4 linked regions of the Arabidopsis thaliana genome follow. The protein of the gene in region 1 interacts with the protein of each later gene in a biochemical or structural test. Each region holds a gene or a part of one and is shown in the gene's direction. Other genes may lie near its edges.

What was found.
Region 2: the proteins of AT4G22730 (region 1) and AT2G01820 form a complex in vitro, tested with the Arabidopsis thaliana proteins (one large-scale study listed by BioGRID).
Region 3: the proteins of AT4G22730 (region 1) and TMK1 form a complex in vitro, tested with the Arabidopsis thaliana proteins (one large-scale study listed by BioGRID).
Region 4: the proteins of AT4G22730 (region 1) and AT2G19230 form a complex in vitro, tested with the Arabidopsis thaliana proteins (one large-scale study listed by BioGRID).

The regions. Positions count from the first base shown.
Region 1 is NC_003075.7:11,938,998-11,944,386, forward strand, and holds AT4G22730 (Leucine-rich repeat protein kinase family protein), read left to right. Parts: upstream 1-2,003; 5' UTR 2,004-2,386; coding exon 2,387-2,816; intron 2,817-2,904; coding exon 2,905-3,165; exon of another isoform or gene 3,166-3,252; coding exon 3,253-4,146; coding exon of another isoform or gene 4,147-4,151; intron 4,152-4,217; coding exon 4,218-4,699; 3' UTR 4,700-4,888; downstream 4,889-5,389. Other genes in the region: AT4G22740 (glycine-rich protein), read right to left, coding at 5,053-5,180, 5,267-5,350.
Region 2 is NC_003071.7:356,830-362,564, reverse strand, and holds AT2G01820 (Leucine-rich repeat protein kinase family protein), read left to right. Parts: upstream 1-1,640; 5' UTR 1,641-1,883; coding exon 1,884-4,170; intron 4,171-4,356; coding exon 4,357-4,901; 3' UTR 4,902-5,212; downstream 5,213-5,735. UniProt on the Arabidopsis thaliana protein: Involved in auxin signal transduction and cell expansion and proliferation regulation.
Region 3 is NC_003070.9:24,629,345-24,635,291, forward strand, and holds TMK1 (transmembrane kinase 1), read left to right. Parts: upstream 1-1,993; 5' UTR 1,994-2,158; coding exon 2,159-4,454; intron 4,455-4,538; coding exon 4,539-5,071; 3' UTR 5,072-5,437; downstream 5,438-5,947.
Region 4 is NC_003071.7:8,342,944-8,350,360, reverse strand, and holds AT2G19230 (Leucine-rich repeat transmembrane protein kinase protein), read left to right. Parts: upstream 1-1,929; coding exon 1,930-2,014; intron 2,015-2,105; coding exon 2,106-2,652; intron 2,653-2,723; coding exon 2,724-3,208; intron 3,209-3,290; coding exon 3,291-3,429; intron 3,430-3,505; coding exon 3,506-3,577; intron 3,578-3,667; coding exon 3,668-3,739; intron 3,740-3,824; coding exon 3,825-3,905; intron 3,906-4,020; coding exon 4,021-4,178; intron 4,179-4,261; coding exon 4,262-4,461; intron 4,462-4,543; coding exon 4,544-4,670; intron 4,671-4,755; coding exon 4,756-4,818; intron 4,819-4,901; coding exon 4,902-5,091; intron 5,092-5,184; coding exon 5,185-5,598; coding exon of another isoform or gene 5,599-5,602; intron 5,603-6,232; coding exon 6,233-6,410; intron 6,411-6,478; coding exon 6,479-6,551; intron 6,552-6,612; coding exon 6,613-6,650; intron 6,651-6,753; coding exon 6,754-6,909; downstream 6,910-7,417. Other genes in the region: AT2G19240 (Ypt/Rab-GAP domain of gyp1p superfamily protein), read left to right, coding at 1-899, 1,158-1,313.

The DNA.
Region 1 (5,389 bases):
AGATTAGTGCATTAGTCTTCCTTAATCATACAAAAACAACTGTGAAAATACAGCACTACTAAAAAGTAAAAAGTAAGAACTTTTTAATGTAGAACGTATGAGATGGTTCAATTAATCACAAGACACTTCTATGGCATTGCGTATTAAACGAAAAGTGAGTAAATAGAATTTATACATAATGATCTAATCTTGATCTTGCTAATAAAAATTGTAAAGGCAACAACAAGTTGTCAAAAATTTCAATTTGACGTAGAGATAAATTCTATCTAATAATTTTGTAAAAACATTCGAGATATAGTGTATCATTTTTCCATCATCTAGAACTCATTTGCGTATTTTCAAGTGTAAATCAGAACCTTGACACATAGGCTACACAAATTTTGGTCGATATTTATATTACTTTTGTAGCATAATGTGGATATCCTTCTAGAGACTAGAGTTCTAGATAAAACATTCATACATGTAACTATGTAAGTAAGCATGCATACTAAATATAAAATTTTCAAAAGTTTTAAAAGACATCATATAGATTCAAAAAGACGTGGGAAAAAGGAGAAAATGACAAAAGTTATTAGTAAAACAATCAAGTAAAAGGTCAAAGTAGTTAACGAAAAGATAAAAGTATTTCAAAAGTCTTCCTTCCATCTTGAAATGCCAAAAAATAAAAGACGAATGATTGAAGATAAATCAAAGTTGTCTGATTGCTATTGTATACATCTTTTTTTTTGTTAAAACTATTGTATACATCTAAAAAACCTTGAAGTAATCAAGATCTGAATTATAGCCGTTGATAAGGTTTTATGCTTTCACATTGAACTCGATCGTCGTCGTCAAATCTACTAGTCTCGTTTTTTAGTTTTAACGTGCTTAATTACTTCACTAATTTGTTTTTTGTTATCATTTTCACCAATTTTATTCATTGTGTGAATTAAGTTTTGTCCACATAGTAAGATTCATCAGTATAATAGGACATATGATAAAAGTTTGTATATAATCAAAGAGTATATCTAAGAATATCTAATTAAGATGAATGTTTCAGTCCACATTGGATTCTGCTTATAGTCAAACTGTCTTGTTCTTAAACCCAATTAGGTTAGAATACATGTACCAACAAATAGCATTTCTATAACTAATCTTTTATCAATTTACTTTATAGCCTACAAATAATTAGAGGAAAAGAAAAGAGAGTTAGTGGAATAATTGTCCTCTAAATCTCGATATCATCATTAACTAAATACTATATTTAGACCATATATACTATATTTTATAGTATACTATATTTTATAGTATATATAATCAACTAATCATATTAGACCACTATTAGAAATATGGATCTAAAAAAAACATTCTTTAATCAGTACTATTCTCATCCAAAGACTTGTTTTAAGAGACTAAATATGAATATGTGTATGTGTATGTGTATGCAGGAGTAGACACGTGCACGTGGCACATGCAGGGAATGGGAAGGTGGAGTGTTGACAAAGAAGAAGAGGATGATCCAAGTTTCGAAATGATTCCAAAAGTTATGAACTATAAGCCAAAGTGCTCAATCGCCAAACATGAACTTAAATAAACTTCACTCGTTAGATCGTTTTCTCACATTAAAGCCGCTCTACACTTTTACCCATTTTACCATTTATAATAACCACCACACATAGATATTAAGTTCTATGGATTTTATTCGTAAACTTAAGTTATGATCAAATAGCTAAATGATTTTGCGATTTGCCCGAGTTCTGTTTGTTTCTAAAATGGTTATCCAAAAAGCATATTTTTGTTTTATATAGAATTTGTGATATAGAAGAAATATACTAAAAATGTTTTAAAGTCTGTCTAAATCATAAACCAATGCAAAGAAAGTGAAATAAACCAAGATCTCGAGCAATAGACATAATAAATAAACAAACACCTAATAACATCACATCCCCACTAACAAATGTGAACATTAACTGTTAAAAATCACCAAAAAAGTCATCAAGATTTGGCTTTCCTTTTCAAAAGCAGTATACGTCTCTGTCTCACACAGACAGTGTATTCAATGCGTTGTGTTGTCTTCCCACTTTTCACCAGCTGAGGTTCTGCTTCTTTCTCTTCTTCTCTCCAAAACAAGAAAATTCTGCAGAATAACTTTTCATTCACGAGAGTGGAAGGTTACAGTTTTCCAAATCCGAGAAACAGACACAAAATTGGTCCCTCTCTAAAAGTTACTATCTTCGTTTAACAAAGAGATAGCTCCCAATCCAGTACAAAACAGAGTACTCTGCTCTATAAATTTCGTTCCTTTATTACTCTGCTCTATAAAACAGATTATTCTGCTCTATAAGAGAGATAGATAAATGAGCTAAAGCTCAGTAATTTCTAAACAGAGAGACAAGAAAATTCAAGAATGGTTACCTTATGTGCCACGTTACTGATCCTTCTCTCAATCTTTCTTGCAACTCCGTCGAATGTTCGAGGAAATGCAGAGCTGAAGGCTTTAATGGAGCTGAAATCGTCGCTTGACCCTGAAAACAAGCTTCTCCGTTCATGGACGTTTAACGGCGATCCATGCGACGGATCTTTCGAAGGAATTGCATGTAACCAGCATCTAAAAGTCGCAAACATATCATTACAAGGGAAACGTTTGGTCGGAAAATTGTCTCCGGCGGTTGCAGAGCTCAAATGTTTGTCAGGTCTTTACTTACATTACAATAGTCTCTCTGGAGAGATACCTCAAGAGATCACAAATCTTACTGAATTATCAGATCTTTATCTCAATGTTAATAACTTCTCTGGTGAGATTCCGGCAGATATCGGCTCCATGGCTGGCTTGCAAGGTTAGCATCTTATAATGTTTCACAGATCTTTCACTTGAATGTTTACTCGATCTTCCATTTGAATGTTTTGTGGTGTCTTTTGTTGCAGTTATGGATCTTTGTTGCAACAGTTTAACAGGGAAGATACCAAAGAACATTGGATCCTTGAAGAAACTTAATGTGTTGTCTCTGCAACACAACAAACTAACCGGAGAGGTTCCTTGGACTTTAGGAAACTTGAGTATGTTAAGCAGGCTTGATTTAAGCTTCAACAATCTGTTAGGTTTAATCCCAAAAACCCTAGCCAACATTCCTCAGTTGGACACTCTTGACTTGCGCAACAATACTCTCTCTGGCTTTGTTCCTCCTGGTGAGTTAATGATTCTTGAAACGTCTTTGTAAGAGCTTATCTCTCTGTTTCTTGACTCGGTTTTTTCTTCGTTATGTTTCTTCAAAGGTCTTAAGAAGTTGAATGGGAGCTTCCAGTTTGAGAACAACACCGGGTTATGTGGTATCGATTTTCCTTCTTTGAGAGCTTGTTCTGCTTTCGATAATGCGAATAATATCGAACAATTTAAGCAGCCTCCTGGTGAAATAGACACTGATAAATCAGCTCTTCACAACATTCCCGAGTCTGTATATCTCCAAAAGCATTGCAACCAAACACATTGCAAGAAATCCTCATCGAAACTCCCACAAGTTGCTTTGATTTCAAGCGTGATTACCGTCACTATAACATTGATTGGTGCTGGTATATTGACCTTCTTTCGCTACAGAAGAAGGAAGCAAAAGATCAGTAACACACCTGAGTTTTCCGAGGGAAGACTAAGCACAGATCAACAAAAAGAGTTCCGTGCATCGCCTTTAGTGAGTCTTGCCTACACTAAAGAATGGGATCCGCTAGGTGATAGCAGAAACGGAGCTGAGTTTTCACAAGAGCCTCATCTCTTTGTTGTAAATAGTAGCTTCAGGTTTAACTTAGAAGACATTGAATCAGCAACCCAATGCTTCTCAGAAGCTAATCTATTGAGCAGAAACAGCTTCACCTCAGTGTTCAAAGGAGTCCTCAGAGATGGTTCTCCGGTAGCTATCAGAAGCATCAACATAAGCAGTTGCAAGAACGAAGAAGTCGAATTCATGAACGGTTTAAAGCTTTTATCTTCGTTGTCACACGAAAACTTAGTGAAGCTACGTGGATTCTGCTGTTCTAGAGGCAGAGGAGAGTGTTTCCTCATCTATGATTTTGCTTCAAAAGGAAAGCTTTCAAATTTTCTTGACTTACAAGAACGCGAAACTAATCTGGTCCTTGCTTGGTCTGCAAGAATCTCCATCATCAAAGGGATTGCAAAAGGTTAAGTATTTGAAATATCACTTCTTTGAGTTCAAGGAACAAAATGTATTTAATACACAAATTTCTTGCAGGTATTGCTTACTTACATGGAAGTGATCAACAGAAGAAGCCTACAATAGTTCATCGAAACATCTCTGTCGAAAAAATCCTACTTGATGAACAATTTAACCCGTTAATCGCTGATTCGGGTCTTCACAACCTTCTAGCAGACGATATGGTCTTCTCAGCACTCAAAACAAGTGCAGCAATGGGATATTTAGCTCCGGAATACGTCACAACCGGAAAATTCACCGAGAAAACCGATATTTTCGCCTTTGGAGTCATCATTCTCCAGATACTCTCTGGTAAGCTCATGCTTACAAGTTCACTGAGAAATGCAGCTGAAAATGGAGAACATAACGGGTTCATCGATGAAGATCTTCGTGAAGAGTTTGATAAACCAGAGGCGACTGCAATGGCGAGGATTGGGATAAGCTGTACACAGGAGATACCAAACAATAGGCCTAATATAGAGACATTGCTTGAGAATATAAACTGTATGAAGAGTGAATGACTCTGCTTTTTAATTAGTATCTTTGTGCAAGTATGATTCTCCGGTTAGCTGTGTCCCACCAATTGGTTTTGTTTGTTTTAGTTCTCTCCAGTAAGAACCGGGTCCGGTTTATATTTTATTTAGATTTGTAGCTGAGAATTGAAGCTTTAATCAGTTAGCTATATGATTATAAGCAACGAAGAACTGATTAATGTAACAAAAGATACATATATAATAATCATCAAGGAGCAGTGTTTAAAACCCTCAAATCATGTCATCATACAGTTACAGTAATGATGATGCAACCTAAGTAAAGTAATTAGTCTTTGGTTACATTCACTAAAGATTTTCGAAACCATACATATAGGCGGAGATTAGTTTGTACCATGTCCTCTTACATTCATTGCAGCTTTCGGTCTTCGGGATGATTCTGCTCGTGCATGAGAAGGACTTGGATCAGTCGAGGGAAGTAACATTGGTTGCTCTCTGTTCACAAGACCACCTGCAAGAACATCAAAGAGATGATTTATCTTTGTTCACAAAGAAACGTACAACACGAAAACTTGACCGTGTAATAGGACTGCTTACTTCCAAATGAACCAGAGCGACTGGGTAACTGCATTTGCCTTCTAGCATTTCCACTCCAAGACTGTTCAAAACCAGCCAATTCATCTGCAGAATTTTGCAATTGAAAGCAAACGGTATATAAGG
Region 2 (5,735 bases), on another chromosome or scaffold:
TTCTAATTTGAAATGCCTTCCGACTAATACCAAGGATAATCATACCGTCTGCATTTCTAACTACCAAATAAATTAATTGGACCAAATCACAACTGAGAGACTTTCTAAACAAATTTGTTATTGTTTTCATGAAAAATCAAACTCAGGTATAGGAGTTAAAGTTTCCTTGTGCCACTACACCAAAGAGGTTTGGACAAATATCTGATTTTTAGAATTATTGAGAATTTAAGAAATGATTGAAAAAAGAAGTAAGTGAAATAAATGTGGTTGATGTGTGACCGTAACGAACAGCAAAGTGGACTAGTTGTTGTTGTCACGTAATCTTTCTACGTACACAAGTGTTCGATCTACATTTCGTGCGAGTTTATAGTATATGGTTGGTGCGTATAATACACCAATCTTTAGCTACTTTTACTATTTTTCTATAAGATTAACAACAACAATATACATGTCCCAATTTCTACATATCGTACTATAACTATTTTTAAAATAGTATAGTTATAATATTTATTACTAGTGAATAAAAACAGACATTCAATACCATAAGAAGAAGAATAGTTCTAGGTTAGAGTGAAACTGGTAAGTAATAATAATAACTCTCCAACCTAACAAACATTAAAAATTGTGGTAAACGGCGTAAGATAACGACCGTTAAAAAATCAGCCGAATGAAGATTAATGCGTGGCTAATATGCTCCGGATTTCACGGCGTCTGTCTTTTACAGTTAAAAACTTTTTTGTCGGGACTGCAAAAAAATCACATTTATCTTGTTTGGTCAAAATTAGTCATGAGAAGATTAAGACCATGCAATGCAAAGTACTCATTAATCTTTTAATTTTTTTTATTCAAAGTATATAATTACTCACGAAGTCGTGACACAATGAGTCAAAAAATGAATTAAATAAAACGGTGTAATCTTAAACTGTCTTTAGCACGTTACGATGAAATTTCAATTTTCGACTAATCTTTGACCCTAAACAATAGGTAACCACCGTCACCGTATTAAATGCTTTTTCTATTCTAAGAAATACAGATAAGTTTCCACGTATTGTATTCGTCCCACAAATATTCATAAGGAGGAAATAATATCCTTTTTTTATAGAAGCAAATGGAAATAATGTGAACAAAAATCCAAGATCTATTACAAAATAAAATATTTTAAAAATTTAGGAAAGACAATCGATATTATTAGCAGTTTAGTCCGAAAAATGCCGAAATACACTCAATCATAGAGATATTACTTTTATTATTACCAATTTTGACACAAATCAATTGTTAAAACTTCCTAAAAAGTAAAATTCTCTAATTGAATATATAAATAAAATATTTCAAACGTGATTTTTATTTACAAACTTTACAAATGTTAATAATATATTCACCTAAACTGAAAACATCTAAATGTCATAAAATTTGTATCTTATTCCTAATTCTGATTTTTTTTTAATATAAAGTTATAAACACAATTAGTAGATAATCTCATTATTCATAATTATGGATTATTCGGCGATTTTCACTATTGTTTTTCACCACTAATTATGCCACCTTGCCAGCTGTATTCACACACACACACACACTCTACACAAGCAAAACTTAAAGTATGCATTTTTATTAATTATGGTTCATCCATTTTATTACAGAAGAATAAATATTTCATTTGAATGAGAATAATAAATAAAAAGGCAATGCTTTTATGATCCTCTTACCTTTAATCTTCTTCGTCTCTCTATCTTCCTCGATCTCCGCCGATTCCTTCGTCTTTCCCTTTCCTCTCTGTAAACCTTTTCTTCTTCTTCTTCTTCAATGCCTCCCTAAAACCCTAGACTCAGAATTCTCAAAGGCGACACCTTTAACCTCCTCCACTCTGTTTCTTTCTCCAACAAAAAATGTCAAATTCCCATTTGGGTACTCTCTGTTTCATCATCTCTTTACTGGGTTTGGCCAATTTCTCACTTTCTCAAACCGGTCTCGATGATTCGACTATGCAATCTCTCAAATCAAGTCTGAATCTTACATCAGACGTCGATTGGTCTAACCCTAACCCTTGTAAATGGCAATCTGTTCAATGCGATGGAAGTAATCGTGTTACTAAGATTCAGCTTAAACAAAAAGGGATTCGTGGAACTCTTCCTACTAATCTTCAGAGTCTCTCTGAATTGGTTATTCTCGAGCTTTTTCTCAATCGTATCTCTGGTCCTATTCCTGATCTCTCTGGCTTATCTCGTTTACAGACTCTGAATCTACACGACAATCTTTTTACCTCTGTACCGAAGAATCTCTTCTCTGGTATGAGTTCTCTTCAAGAAATGTATCTCGAGAACAATCCGTTTGATCCTTGGGTAATTCCAGACACCGTTAAAGAAGCTACGTCTCTGCAGAATCTAACTCTCTCCAATTGCAGCATTATTGGAAAGATCCCAGATTTCTTCGGTTCTCAGTCACTTCCGAGCTTGACGAATCTGAAACTATCTCAGAATGGTTTAGAAGGAGAGTTACCGATGAGTTTTGCTGGTACTTCGATTCAGTCTCTGTTCTTGAATGGTCAGAAGCTTAATGGATCGATCTCGGTATTGGGGAACATGACTTCGCTCGTTGAGGTTTCTCTTCAAGGAAATCAGTTCTCAGGTCCAATTCCTGATCTCTCTGGTTTGGTATCTCTACGTGTGTTTAATGTTAGAGAGAATCAGCTCACTGGTGTTGTTCCACAGTCTTTGGTTAGTTTGAGTTCGCTTACTACTGTGAATTTAACTAATAATTATCTTCAAGGACCGACTCCGTTGTTTGGCAAATCCGTTGGTGTTGATATAGTCAACAACATGAATAGCTTTTGTACTAATGTAGCTGGTGAGGCTTGTGATCCTCGTGTGGATACTTTGGTATCTGTAGCTGAATCATTTGGATATCCAGTGAAGCTTGCGGAAAGTTGGAAAGGAAACAATCCTTGTGTTAACTGGGTTGGGATTACTTGTTCTGGAGGTAACATTACGGTTGTTAATATGAGGAAACAGGATCTCTCGGGTACGATTTCTCCGAGTTTAGCTAAGCTTACTTCATTGGAGACTATCAATCTTGCTGATAATAAACTCTCCGGGCATATACCTGATGAGCTTACCACATTGTCTAAGCTTAGGTTACTTGATGTGTCTAACAACGATTTTTATGGAATACCGCCAAAGTTTCGGGATACTGTGACTTTGGTGACTGAAGGGAACGCTAACATGGGGAAGAATGGACCTAACAAAACGAGTGATGCTCCTGGAGCTTCACCAGGAAGTAAACCTTCAGGAGGAAGTGATGGCAGTGAAACTTCTAAGAAATCAAGCAATGTCAAGATTATTGTTCCTGTGGTTGGTGGGGTTGTTGGTGCATTGTGTTTGGTTGGGCTTGGTGTGTGTCTTTATGCGAAGAAAAGGAAGCGACCTGCTAGAGTTCAAAGTCCAAGCAGCAACATGGTTATTCATCCGCATCATTCGGGTGACAACGATGACATTAAACTCACTGTTGCAGCTTCTAGTCTTAACAGTGGTGGAGGAAGTGATAGCTACAGTCACAGCGGAAGTGCAGCGAGTGATATTCACGTTGTTGAAGCTGGGAACTTGGTTATATCGATACAGGTCTTGAGGAATGTGACGAATAACTTCAGCGAAGAGAATATTCTCGGGAGAGGTGGTTTCGGGACAGTTTACAAAGGCGAACTCCACGATGGAACAAAAATAGCTGTGAAGAGAATGGAGTCTTCGGTTGTGAGTGATAAGGGACTTACTGAGTTTAAATCTGAGATCACTGTTCTGACTAAAATGCGTCATCGTCATCTCGTTGCGCTTCTCGGTTACTGCCTTGACGGGAACGAGAGGCTTCTTGTCTACGAGTACATGCCACAGGGGACACTAAGTCAGCATTTGTTCCACTGGAAAGAGGAAGGGCGAAAACCGTTAGACTGGACTAGACGGCTGGCGATTGCATTGGATGTAGCTCGAGGTGTCGAGTATCTGCACACACTTGCGCATCAGAGCTTTATCCATAGGGATCTAAAGCCATCAAACATCCTTCTTGGTGATGATATGCGCGCTAAAGTCTCTGACTTTGGGTTAGTACGTTTAGCCCCTGATGGCAAATACTCCATTGAGACTCGAGTAGCTGGGACTTTCGGATACCTTGCCCCAGAATACGCAGGTTTGTACTTACCCAAATTTTAAAGTCTCTGCCTTTCAATTGATTTGCACTTGCCCAGTGTCAAAGTTTCATACTTTGGCCGTTTTGCACTTAAATTTTCATGCTTTGATCTTATTGCATTTTCCTAAATGTTATAGTTTCATCCTTTGATCGTTTGGCAATTGTTCTATACTCTGATTTTGGCAGTGACGGGAAGAGTGACGACCAAGGTAGACATTTTCAGCCTTGGGGTCATACTTATGGAGCTAATCACTGGTCGTAAAGCCCTAGACGAGACGCAACCCGAAGACAGCGTCCATCTAGTCACATGGTTCCGTCGGGTAGCAGCCAGCAAAGACGAAAATGCCTTCAAAAACGCAATAGACCCAAACATCAGCCTCGACGACGATACCGTAGCCAGTATTGAAAAAGTCTGGGAGCTTGCTGGTCATTGCTGTGCCCGTGAGCCTTACCAAAGACCTGACATGGCTCACATCGTTAACGTCCTTTCTTCACTCACCGTCCAATGGAAACCAACTGAGACCGACCCTGATGACGTCTATGGGATAGACTACGATATGCCGCTTCCGCAGGTGCTTAAGAAATGGCAAGCTTTCGAGGGACTAAGCCAGACCGCGGATGACTCGGGATCTTCGTCTTCGGCTTATGGAAGCAAAGACAATACGCAGACAAGTATCCCAACTCGCCCATCTGGATTTGCTGACTCGTTCACTTCTGTGGATGGACGTTGAAAAAATCAAGATTGCGTAAAACGTTTTAGTAGAAGAAGAAGATGAAGCATTGTGTGATAAATCTCTCTCTCGCTCTCCCTTTTTTTGCTTTTCTCTGAAGCATATTTACTTATGACTTCGTTTTTATCTACTGCAAGCTTTTGGTTAGTGTATTTATCTATCTACTTTGTGTAGTTTTTATGCAAAGATAACAATCTTTGAGTTCTTAAAATTTTAATATTTCGTCAGTAAAATCCAACTCATAAACCGTAAAAGCTGAACCAAACAGTATTTTGAACTCACTGCGGTTTAAGTTATTAACATGTGTTTAGGGGTTTAAGCAAGTAGATTACTATAAGTACACTTTCTATGAGAAATCATTTTGTATTCCAAGCCCACAAGTCCAATAAAGCCATGTGTTTATGGGTTTGGACTTTGGACCATACACCCACTGGAATATCAAAGCAGTCTCCGTATTCATTCAATTTGCTATGAGCCAGTTGGTCCTTCCCTTCTAATGAAATACATGATTTTGGTGTCCCTCATTTTATAAAGCACACTGTCCAATCCAATCTTCATAATATTAAGCATCTACTATTTAGGTTCACTGATCATATGATATAAAATCTAAACATCAAAGGTGACACCAATAATTGGAACTAAGTTAGGCAAACTTAACCGTTTACATGTAAGGAACCAATTATCACTTATAAACCATTCACAGCTTTTGATGTAGTTAAAAAAGATTAGATATGAGCTCCAATATAATGCAGATTCAACAACAAAAACAATACTAGAGTTATATACTCATATGTCACTAATTATTTTAGATATATATTGATAAGTTTGTATAAT
Region 3 (5,947 bases), on another chromosome or scaffold:
AAGCAATTTTGTGGAATATCACTTTACGGAAATATTTTTGCGATGGATCTAATATTGTGACAGATTGGTTTCGAACATAAATCTCTTGTTACATGCTATTTGCCGAATTGCTAGAAAAATTTCCTTGCAAATATATAACATGTTCTTTTGTATTGAATTTGTGAGTTACATTCATTGCTATATACTTATATTGATGACATATACGTTATAATCGTTTGGAACAGATCTTTCAGCTATACATTATTATGTTGGTATGCTACGTGATACTCTTTTAACACCCAACAAGTAACAAATTTTTGTTTTCAATAAAGTAATATAATAAAGTCTTGCACTGATTTGAAAAAGTTGAGTTCATTTAGTATTTTTGACAGGTCTCACTCACTACAATATTCATCATCATTCCCTAATTTATGACAAACACAATTATTATCCAACCTAAAAAAATAAAACATTATATAGTTAGAATTAGAAATGATAAAGTTTTTTTTTTCCTTGTAGATCTTGCAGAGAGCCATGTGCATGGGGAATAAGCTTCACCTGGGTTTTTCTTATACACATATTAAAAAAAAAAAAAATCTCATAGAAAGTAATAACAATATAATAGTAAAAAACTAAAAATAAAAAGATAAAAGGACTTTAAATCATCATGATTCATGAGACAGCAACGAAAGATACATGTAGCATTTTGCTAAAAACAGACACATCAAATTTATAAAAATTTGCATATTAATTGTATCCACATATATTCATATTATATGTATTAAAACATTCATATAATATTAATATAATAATTATTTCATTATTTGTTTGTATATCTTTGTTGCGGACTTTCGGGTCGTTAGTCGAGACTTCTTTATGAAATTTTGTTTTGACAACTGTATGCTTTTTATAATAACTTTGATAGTAATTGATATATATTATACTGATATTTTATGCTTTTTTTTGTGTGTTATCTACGAATCATTTGCCAATCTTTTTCACAACTTTTGCACTCTTATGCCATTGACAGCCTAGAACCCTCGATGTGTGATCACTAAAATACAACCAATTAAATTGTTTAGTTATCATTTTGGTGAACTACCGAATATAGAATATATATAAGAAAATCGAACTTTCGCCTATAATTACTTTTTAACTTTTCAACTTTCAAGACATTAATTTTCTTCAATTACGTATTTAGAAATAAAAGGTTCAGAATGTGTAGCTGGCACAAGGATTCTACTCTTTGGTTAATTGAATTTAGTGATTTTACTTGCAAGTTACAACAACTATTACTTACTGTATTTCTTATTAAACAAATACCACTAAATAACCATGATTTGTGTTTTTTTCTTCTTCTTATGAAATTAGTGAACTGCATTTTTAATACTGTACTTCATTTTTCGTTTGTGATTTAAAAAATGGTTTGGATTATGAATTTTGACTTAACATAATAGTAATGTAAGTTCTGCGTATAAAATTCAACTCTGTTATGCTATTTATCCTATAAACATTATTTTGAAAATTACTCACACTAAAACACACCACTTATTTACGAAAATTTAACCATATTTTCTTGCTAATAAAGTAATAATCCCCTCTAATTTGAATTACATAACAAATTCACCCTTATAAACAACTTGTCTTTTTTTTTTTTGTGCGAATAAACAACTTGTCTAAAAATTAAAATCTCGTATATATACATAACTTACCAAGATACAAAAAAGCAAATTTGAGATATTTTTGGCAATTTAAACGATACATCTTTTACCAATGAAAAAGCAAAATTGAGATATTAATTGCTTTTCTATTTCACCATTTCGTTTGTGTGAAGCATTTGACAAAATCCAACTCACACTACGTAGTCAATATATCCACTACAACCTTTAATTATTTTCCAAATAAACGTTATCTCAATCCTATGATAAAAATTAAATAAATTAAAAAACTCCAAAATAAAATAAAAATAAAAATAAATATATCTAATCTGTTACCAAACTGTCATTGGCTTAGTGGGACAGACATCCCATGTGCAGTCTCCTTGGCTTCTGCTTCATAGTTTCATCTTCTTCCTTCTCTCTCAATGGCCCATCTTCCCATTTCCTAAAAGCTTCAAACTTTCTTCACATTTCTCTCTTTATCTCTCTGTTTCTTCTTCAATCCTCTGTTTCTTCAAGCTATGAAGAAAAGAAGAACCTTTCTTCTATTTTCATTTACCTTTCTTCTTCTTCTATCTCTTTCTAAAGCTGATTCTGATGGAGATCTCTCAGCGATGTTATCACTCAAGAAAAGCTTAAACCCACCCAGTTCTTTCGGTTGGTCTGACCCTGACCCATGTAAATGGACTCACATCGTTTGTACAGGAACAAAACGTGTGACCCGGATCCAAATCGGGCATTCGGGTCTTCAAGGTACACTTTCTCCTGATCTACGTAACTTATCAGAGCTTGAAAGACTTGAGCTTCAATGGAACAACATCTCTGGTCCTGTTCCTTCTTTAAGTGGTTTAGCTTCATTACAAGTCTTGATGTTAAGTAACAACAACTTTGATTCTATCCCTAGTGATGTCTTTCAAGGTTTAACTTCGTTACAATCTGTAGAAATTGATAACAATCCTTTTAAGAGTTGGGAGATTCCAGAGAGTTTGAGAAATGCTTCTGCTCTTCAGAATTTCTCTGCTAATTCGGCTAATGTTTCCGGTTCTTTACCCGGTTTTCTCGGACCGGATGAGTTTCCCGGTTTGTCGATTTTGCATTTGGCTTTCAACAACTTAGAAGGAGAGTTGCCTATGAGTTTAGCTGGCTCTCAGGTTCAGTCATTGTGGCTCAATGGTCAGAAACTAACCGGTGATATTACTGTTCTTCAGAACATGACTGGTTTAAAAGAGGTTTGGCTTCACTCCAACAAGTTTTCGGGTCCTTTACCGGACTTTTCGGGTCTTAAGGAGCTTGAGAGCTTGAGTTTGAGAGATAACTCCTTTACAGGTCCAGTTCCTGCGTCTTTGTTAAGTCTTGAGTCACTTAAAGTTGTGAACTTGACGAATAATCATCTACAAGGACCAGTGCCTGTGTTTAAGAGCTCTGTTTCAGTTGATTTGGATAAAGATTCTAACAGCTTTTGCTTGTCTAGTCCTGGTGAGTGTGATCCTAGAGTGAAGTCTTTGCTTTTGATAGCTAGTTCATTCGATTATCCGCCCCGGCTCGCTGAGAGTTGGAAAGGAAACGATCCTTGTACTAACTGGATTGGGATAGCTTGTAGCAATGGGAACATTACTGTTATCAGTCTTGAGAAAATGGAACTAACCGGGACGATTTCTCCCGAGTTTGGAGCGATCAAGTCGCTTCAAAGAATCATTCTTGGTATCAACAATCTTACTGGTATGATTCCTCAAGAGCTTACAACGTTACCTAATCTCAAAACACTCGATGTTTCGAGTAACAAGCTTTTCGGGAAGGTCCCGGGTTTTAGAAGCAATGTTGTTGTGAATACTAATGGTAATCCTGACATTGGAAAGGATAAAAGCTCTTTGTCTTCTCCTGGTTCTTCTTCGCCTTCAGGTGGTTCGGGTTCAGGTATCAACGGTGATAAAGACCGGAGAGGAATGAAGTCTTCGACTTTTATAGGAATCATTGTTGGTTCAGTTCTTGGAGGTTTGTTATCAATCTTCTTGATTGGTTTGTTAGTTTTCTGTTGGTACAAAAAGAGGCAGAAGAGATTCTCAGGAAGTGAGAGCTCAAATGCAGTAGTGGTGCATCCGCGACATTCGGGGTCTGACAATGAGAGTGTTAAGATTACAGTTGCGGGTTCAAGCGTAAGCGTTGGAGGGATAAGTGATACTTATACGCTTCCTGGTACAAGTGAGGTTGGAGATAATATTCAAATGGTGGAAGCAGGAAACATGCTGATATCAATCCAAGTGCTTCGTTCTGTGACTAACAACTTCAGTTCAGATAACATTCTTGGATCAGGAGGTTTCGGGGTTGTGTATAAAGGCGAGTTGCACGATGGAACGAAGATTGCGGTTAAGAGAATGGAGAATGGAGTTATTGCTGGTAAAGGCTTTGCGGAGTTTAAATCAGAGATTGCGGTTTTAACAAAGGTTAGGCATCGTCATTTGGTTACGCTTCTTGGTTATTGTTTGGATGGGAATGAGAAGTTACTTGTGTATGAGTATATGCCTCAAGGGACATTGAGTAGGCATTTGTTTGAGTGGTCAGAGGAAGGACTTAAGCCTCTGTTGTGGAAACAGAGATTGACTTTAGCTTTGGATGTTGCTAGAGGTGTGGAGTATCTCCATGGATTAGCTCACCAGAGCTTTATACACAGGGATCTTAAGCCTTCTAACATTCTTCTTGGGGATGATATGAGGGCGAAAGTTGCAGACTTTGGACTCGTTCGTCTCGCTCCTGAAGGAAAAGGATCGATTGAGACTAGAATCGCTGGAACATTTGGTTACTTGGCACCCGAATACGCAGGTTAGTTTGTTTCTTTATGATGATATGATTCAGTTTGTACTAAAGATTGTTTATTGATGATGATTGTGATCTTGTTTGTTGCAGTAACGGGTCGAGTGACAACGAAGGTCGATGTATACAGCTTCGGGGTAATCCTAATGGAACTCATAACGGGAAGAAAATCTCTAGACGAATCGCAACCAGAAGAAAGCATTCACTTGGTCTCTTGGTTCAAACGGATGTACATCAACAAAGAAGCATCATTCAAGAAAGCGATCGACACGACAATAGACCTAGACGAAGAAACCTTAGCCAGCGTTCACACTGTTGCTGAACTAGCAGGCCATTGCTGTGCCCGTGAGCCTTACCAGAGACCAGACATGGGACACGCAGTCAACATTCTGTCATCACTCGTTGAGCTATGGAAACCGTCGGATCAGAATCCAGAAGACATATATGGTATCGATCTCGACATGTCTTTACCTCAAGCACTTAAGAAATGGCAAGCTTATGAAGGAAGAAGTGATCTCGAATCTTCAACTTCATCACTTTTACCTAGCTTGGACAACACGCAGATGAGTATTCCCACTAGACCTTACGGATTCGCAGAGTCATTCACTTCAGTAGATGGACGATGAATGAGAGATTCCTTGAAACCCAGATTTGATTTTTCTCCTTTTGTATATTTGTGTTTCCTCTCCTCTTCTTCCCCTCACAATTCTTTCATGTTTCTTGTGATGCAAGTAACATTTAGGGCTTAATTTGGGTGTCTTAATATTATTTTGATGTTGAGTGTTTTATTTGTTGGTTTGTTGATTTAGAAAAGTTGACGTGTGTACTTCAAGTTTGTGGGAAATGGTAAATGACAGTGAGGTAGAGAGGTTGGCATTGGATCCATCTTCACATGGCTGTCTCTTTTGTTTGGATCTTCATTTTTTAAATATCTTTATAAATTGACATCAACTTGATCTCAACCAAAATGTTTTCTGTGAATTTAGTTTCGGACTTAATACCTAGTATTAATATATAAGTATTGGATTAAATTAGTATCTGGTGACACAGATTCACAACTTTTTTTTTTATCATGGTATCATGTAGGTAGAGTGTTGAACATTGTAATAGCATCCAAAGTAAATAAAACTTATTATAAAATGGATGATTAGGTATGGTTTCGGTTTTTAAAGAAATTTAAGTTTCAGATTTTGGCTAATATTCATTCATATCAAACTTGTATGTATTTTGGTTACATGAAAACGAGAAAAGGACAGTGTATTTTTAGAAATTATAAATCATCAAGATAACGTTTGGTAACAGTTCAACCAATTCAAAGAAATAAACAAAGTTTTGGTCAGGACTACAATAATTCGATTATATTTTTGTTTTGTTAGGCTGATTTTAAAACAAAATAGAAACCTTGGACTGGAAATCTAAAACATAATTATGTTAATATCGTTACACTTATCATCAATTTAAAGTTGTGTATAAATAAGTACAATTCAATACAGCACAGAGAA
Region 4 (7,417 bases), on another chromosome or scaffold:
AAAATAAAATTTGTTTGGAGAAACAGACTCCTCCTACACAGAAGAAAAAGAGGTGGTTGAATGTGACAAAACTTTTCCGAGCAGTGATTGATCTATCACATCATAAGTTAGGAATTGGGGAACGGAAAGCAAACTCATCTCCAGTGACACAAAGTTTGCTTGAAGATTCGTCTGAGCAGCTCAATGTTGATTGTCATGTGACTGTGAACAAGGAGAACATTCATCCTCAAGAAACTGAGGAAAACATTATGGAATTCCATTCTGCAGATGAAGAGAGTATAGTAAGTGGAAGTTCACCAAGTGAGGAGAGTTCATTCGTCTCCTTAGACCCAACCAGTCCTGTCAGATGTTCAACCAAAATTGAAAACGATTCAGTTAGCAGTGCTGGCTCAAATTTGCTTCCCGATGAAGACGACAAAAGCATAGTTTCAATTAGTGAAGAGAATTCATCTGTCTCCTCTGATCCAATCAGTCCTGCCATAGATTCAAATTACAGTGGAAAATATTTAGATTGCTGTACCGGTTCGGAAAACGATAAAGATCAACAAACAAGTGTAAATTCACCTCTTTCTGTATCTCCCCATAGGAGAAATGAGTATCCAGTAACTCAGTCTGATGAAGACGTCTCCACCGATAAATCTGTGGGCATAACTAAAGAGTACAAGCTTTTACATGGAATAGTTCAGTGGTTTCGGAAGCTTAAACGCACTTTGTCAAGTGAGGAGACTTCTCATAGAAAAGCTTCTGATGCCACAAAGACCAATGATGTTAAAATTAAAAAGAACCAAATAGGTTGCTATTCTGAATCCCACCCCCAAGCTTTGTCTTCTGGAGACTCAAGTCAGAATCTGAGGAAGACTCTGAAGAACCTTGGCCAGTCCATGCTCAAACACATTGAGGTAACTTCTCAGTTCTCATATTCATCGTGTTTCAGCGGTTACCAGCATTTATAAAAAGATAAGTACAAAGACAGTAAAATGGGTTATCGAACTGGTAAATGTATCTTTCGTATGGTCCTGAAGGTAACTAGTAAGTTAGTTTCTTGCCTCCAGTGGTAAAGGATTATTGTAACAAAGATATTTTGCCATTTCCATGACAATTCTTTACCGCCTTACAAGCTCAAATGTTCTGATGATTTTAGTCTATTTTATTTTCAGGCAATTGAGTTGGTTTTCCAACAAGAACCTTGTCTGGTTCCGGCAGGATTGATAGGGAACTTAGCTAAAACCAATTTGATCGAAAAGGGACAAGTCACTGCTACAACAGCACTTAAGGAGCTTCGGAAACTCAGTAATCTGTTGTCAGAGATGTGAGGTTGTGTTCTCTCATTTGTTTGAGTCAGCTCTGTAAATACATTATGAAATGTATATTGTTTTACATTTGTTTGAGTCAGCTCTGTAAATACATTATGAAATGTATATTGTTTTAGAGTAAAAGGATAAAGAATAAAACTTTCTGTTTTCAATCGAGGTGTGGTTAGGTCTAAATGTGTAGAGGAAAACTCATGAAAGAAATTGACCTCAATTTCTTAAATATTTTTGTACATTGATTTATTGAGATGAAGCCAAATACTTGTTTTAGTTCTTGTGTTAAAAGGGAATAATGATGACTCGTTTAATATATGTTGTGGAAGCCAGGAAATAGTGGAAGTTATGAATCCAAAAACAATAATCTGAATCTCCTTCACTATTCCCCACCACTTTTCCGGTTTGGAAATTGTTGTGAATACACTTTCGTAAGTCGTTGACATTATATTGAAGAAACTCTTATAAAATCACAAAATACCCTTTTGGCTTATAGTATATATATGCTTTCAGGGAAGGTGGTTCACATGTTGGCAACATGCCTATTGAATGACTGAAAATAACAAGCTTTTCATATATAAGGTTTAGTTTGAATCTATGAGAAATTGATTGAGAATTGTGACTGATGGGGAATTTCAACTTTCTTCCGCTAGTTTCTTTCGCAAGCTTTGTTGTTGTCCTTGTTCTTGTTTGTGCTCAAGACCAATCAGGTAGAGTTTAGACAATGATTTAGTTCCTTAAAGATATTGAATACGTCTATATATACTTTGTAAAAGGCTTTCATGTGCGTGTGCTTTACAGGTTTTGTTAGTATAGATTGTGGTATACCAGAAGATTCCAGTTATTACGATGAGAAAACAGACATAAAATACATTTCAGATGCTGCATTTGTCGAGTCCGGGACAATTCATAGCATAGATTCTAAGTTTCAGAAAAAAAATCTTGAGAAACAGTTCCAAAAGGTTAGGAGCTTCCCTGAAGGCAAGAAAAACTGTTACGATGTGCAGCCTCCTCAGGGAAAAGGCTTCAAGTATCTGATAAGAACCCGTTTCATGTACGGTAACTACGATAATCTAGGGAAAGCACCCGACTTCGATCTTTATCTTGGTGTCAATCTCTGGGATTCTGTTACTCTTGAGAATTCAACTACTATAGTCACCAAAGAGATCATCTACACTCTTCGCTCGGACAAGGTTCATGTGTGTCTTGTTGATAAAGAAAGAGGAACTCCATTCTTGTCTGTCTTAGAACTCAGGCTCCTGAAAAATAATATATACGAGACTGCTTCTGATTCTCTTATGCTGTATCGAAGATGGGATCTTGGTGCAACCGGAGATCTTCCTGCCAGGTTAAAAATTAATTAACCGTTTATACACTCTGATTATTTCTGTTTTGCCTTACGTTTCTCTAATAATATAGGTACAAAGACGATATTTTTGACCGCTTCTGGATGCCGTTGATGTTTCCGAACTTTTTGATCCTCAATACGTCGCTGATGATAGATCCGACTAGCAGCAACGGATTCTTACCCCCTAGTGTTGTCATGAGCACTGCAGTAGCACCAATGAATTCCAGCATAGAGCAGATAATGGTTTATTGGGAACCACGGGACCCAAATTGGAAATTCTATATATACATACACTTTGCTGAAGTTGAGAAACTTCCAAGTAATGAGACAAGGGAGTTCTCTGTGTTTCTGAACAAAGAGCAGATCGACACTACTAGTGTGTTTAGGCCTAGCTACTTGTATACAGATACACTTTACGTTCAAAACCCCGTGAGCGGACCATTTCTCGAATTTGTTCTTAGACAAGGTGTTAAGTCCACGCGTCCTCCTATCATGAATGCCATCGAGACATATCGTACCAACGAGTTTCTTGATTTGCCTACTGATCAAAATGATGGTAAGGTTACATATTCAGAATTAGAACTTGCCTCACTTAATATACTTAGCTCTCTACTTAGTCTGTTTAGTATGAATTGTAGTTGATGCAATTATGAAAATAAAGACCAAGTATAAAGTGAAGAAGAACTGGCTCGGAGATCCTTGTGCTCCATTTGGCTATCCTTGGCAGGGTATTAATTGTAGCTACACCGCTAACAATCCTCCGAGAATCATTTCTGTGTAAGAATTTGTTGAATAGCATATATCTCAGTACTATATGTTTCTGTCCTCAAAGCAACAAATGTGTGATTTGCAGGAACCTATCCTTTAGTGGATTGACTGGCCAGATTGATCCAGTCTTCATCACCCTTACACCATTACAGAAACTGTCAGTTTTTTATTTTATTTTATTTTTTGCAATTTATAGTACACAGAGTTTTTGAAGCCTAACTAACACAACCAAAACATTTCATTACAGAGACTTATCAAATAACAGATTAACAGGAACAGTACCTGATTTCCTTGCTAATTTACCGGATTTAACCGAGTTGTAAGTCATCCCAACTGAATTTTCATATTAGAAAAACGTTGGTATCTTTTACTAATATTTATGGATTCCACACATGTTTCTGCAGAAACTTGGAAGAAAACAAGTTAACGGGTATCCTCCCGGAGAAACTATTGGAGAGATCAAAAGATGGATCGCTTTCTCTGAGGTTGGTTCTTGATAAGATTTTGAACTCATCCCACATTTGTTGATTTGAAACAGTTCAATTTGGCATGTATTAATGGTTTGTTCTTCACATAACGTTTCTGAATTTTAATCATTAGAGTTGGCGGGAATCCAGACCTTTGCGTGTCTGATTCATGTCGAAACAAAAAGACGGAGAGGAAAGAATACATTATTCCATCAGTAGCATCTGTTACAGGATTGTTTTTTCTCTTGCTCGCATTAATTTCTTTCTGGCAATTCAAGAAGAGACAACAAAGTGGGTGAATCATAAAACACCTGTTAAAATTGCTTATTTTTTCCAAGACTTTTGATGAAAATAATTTCTCATTGATCTCTTAGCAGGTGTCAAGACCGGACCACTAGACACAAAGCGATACTACAAGTATTCAGAAATAGTGGAAATTACAAACAACTTTGAGAGAGTTCTTGGCCAAGGAGGCTTCGGAAAAGTATACTATGGTGTCTTACGTGGGGAACAAGTTGCTATCAAGATGTTGTCTAAATCATCAGCTCAAGGCTACAAAGAATTCCGAGCAGAGGTTACTCTCATATAGTCTTAAAGGTTCAGTCCAGATGAAAAGTGAACTATTCTGAGAGAGACATGGACTTTTTGATTGTCAGGTTGAACTTCTCCTGAGAGTTCATCACAAGAACCTAATAGCTCTTATTGGATACTGCCACGAAGGAGATCAAATGGCACTTATCTACGAGTATATCGGTAATGGGACCTTGGGAGACTACTTGTCAGGTCAGCCTCATGTAGTCAATTTTTGGTCACTTGTCTTTGTTATAATCAGAAGAACTTAATCTGATTGTCGTTTTCTATAATTAAGGGAAAAACTCGAGTATTTTGAGCTGGGAGGAAAGGTTACAGATATCATTAGATGCAGCACAAGGTACACCATTACTGTATCTCAAAATTACATATAAAAATAGAATGAGAAAATCAATAAAACTTTGGTTTGCTTGAAAAAAACAGGGCTAGAGTATCTCCACAATGGATGCAAACCTCCTATAGTTCACAGAGATGTGAAACCTACGAACATTCTAATCAACGAAAAGCTCCAGGCCAAGATCGCTGACTTCGGTTTATCTAGAAGCTTCACACTGGAAGGTGACAGTCAGGTTTCAACTGAAGTCGCTGGAACTATTGGCTATCTTGACCCTGAGTAAAGCTTTTCTCTTCGAACCTCAAATCTCAGCTATTTTTGTTGTTGTCTATATTCATTTGTTTCTCTACTCTATGGTTATTTGAAATGAAGGCACTACTCGATGCAGCAATTCAGCGAGAAGAGTGATGTTTATAGCTTTGGGGTGGTACTCCTGGAGGTAATCACGGGCCAACCGGTAATTTCACGTTCAAGGACTGAAGAGAACAGACATATAAGCGACCGAGTTAGCTTGATGCTGTCTAAAGGAGATATCAAAAGCATTGTGGATCCGAAGCTAGGAGAGAGGTTCAACGCTGGCTTGGCCTGGAAGATCACTGAAGTAGCATTGGCTTGTGCGTCTGAAAGTACTAAGACAAGACTCACGATGAGTCAGGTTGTGGCTGAGCTAAAAGAGAGTCTATGCAGAGCAAGAACCAGTGGTGATTCTGGAGATATTTCTTTTAGCGAGCCGACGGAGATGAACGTGTCCATGACTGTTGACCCGGGGGTGCTTCCTCAACCGAGGTAATGCATCTCAGTTTAAAAGCATTTGGAAAATTATGTGAGCTATGAAATAAAAATGATTTGTGATTAAGAAGAGAAGAAAGGTTGGGTATAATTGAATTGTTTTTTTTTTTGCCTTAAATCTTAGTAACGGTAAGTTCTTTTATACATTGTTTACTTTCTGATCGACACTTTAATTCTTGAGCTACATATATACAAACATTCTTTAATGGACAAGAAGAAAAAATATTGTTCTGATACCCTTCAATTGAGCTCTATTGTTCTGATAAAAACATTAATACATAACCTGTGAGTATGGGACTGGCTTAGTAAGGTAGATATAAGGAAGAAGATGGTCACAAAGAGAGTACATATGGTAAAGTAAAGCATGGTTATACTGTAAAGTAAAGCTAGTTTATATAGAAAACTAACTTTGATATAGCTTTCATATAAGAAGCAAGGACAAGCCTGAGATCATAAAGCTTCCATGCAAAAACCTTTAGAGAAAACGTACAAAATTAAAATCTGGCGGGTTCAGTATGTTACATAGGTCAAATTACAGTGGAAATGATTTAGATTGATGTACCGGTTCAGAAAACGATAAAGGTCAACAAACAAGTGTAAATTCACCTCTTTCTGTATCTCCCCATACGAGAAATGAGTATCCAGTAACTCAGCCTGATGCAGTCAACTCTACAGATAAATCTGTGGGCATTACTAAGGAGCACAACCTTTTACATGGAATAGTCCAGTGGTTCCGGAAGCTTAAACACACTTTGTCAAGTGAGGAGACTTCAGATAGAAAAGCTTCTGATGCCACAAAGACCAGTGATGTTGAAATTAAAAAGAACCAAATCGGTTGCCATTCTGAGTCCCACCCCCAAGCTTTATCTTCTTGCAGCAATGGAGACTCAAATCAGAATCTGATGAGGACTCTGAAGAACCTTGGCCAGTCCATGCTCTAACACATTCAGGTAACTTCTCAGTTCTCATATTCATCAAACTGGTAGAAGTATTTTTCGTATGGTTCTGAAGGTAACAAGTATGAGTATGTTAGTTTCTTGCCTCTAGTGGTATAGGATTATTGTAACAAAGATATTTAGCCATTTCCATGACAATTCTTCTCCGCCTTACAAGCTCAAATGTTCTGATGATTTTAGTCTATTTTATATTCAGGCAGTTGAGTTGGTTTTCCAACAAGAACCTAGTCTGGTTCAGGCAGGATTGATAGGGAACTTTGCTAAAACCAATTTGATCGAAAAGGGACAAGTCACTGCTACAACAGCACTTAAGGAGCTTCGGAAACTCAGTAATCTGTTGTCAGAGATGTGAGGTTGTGTTCTCTCATTTGTTTGAGTCAGCTCTGTAAATACATTTGAAATGTATATTGTTTTAGAGTAAAAGGATAAAGAATAAAACTTTCTGTTTTCAATCGAGGTGTGGTTAGGTCTAAATGTGTAGAGGAAAACTCATGAAAGAAATTGACCTCAATTTCTTAAATATTTTTGTACATTGATTTATTGAGATGAAGCCAAATACTTGTTTTAGTTCTTGTGTTAAAAGGGAATAATGATGACTCGTTTAATATATGTTGTGGAAGCCAGGAAATAGTGGAAGTTATGAATCCAAAAACAATAATCTGAATCTCCTTCACTATTCCCCACCACTGCTTCAGGACCAACTATGTTCTCATTCTCGTTTGCATAAGATCGGTTCTCTGCATCTTTACTTCCCTACCTTGTCTTTCTACACATCATATAAGGAAGATTCTGTTATGTTATAGCAATAGCTTCTGAATAAAATATAGGAACATGCAATATCTACATAACAAATTTAAAAA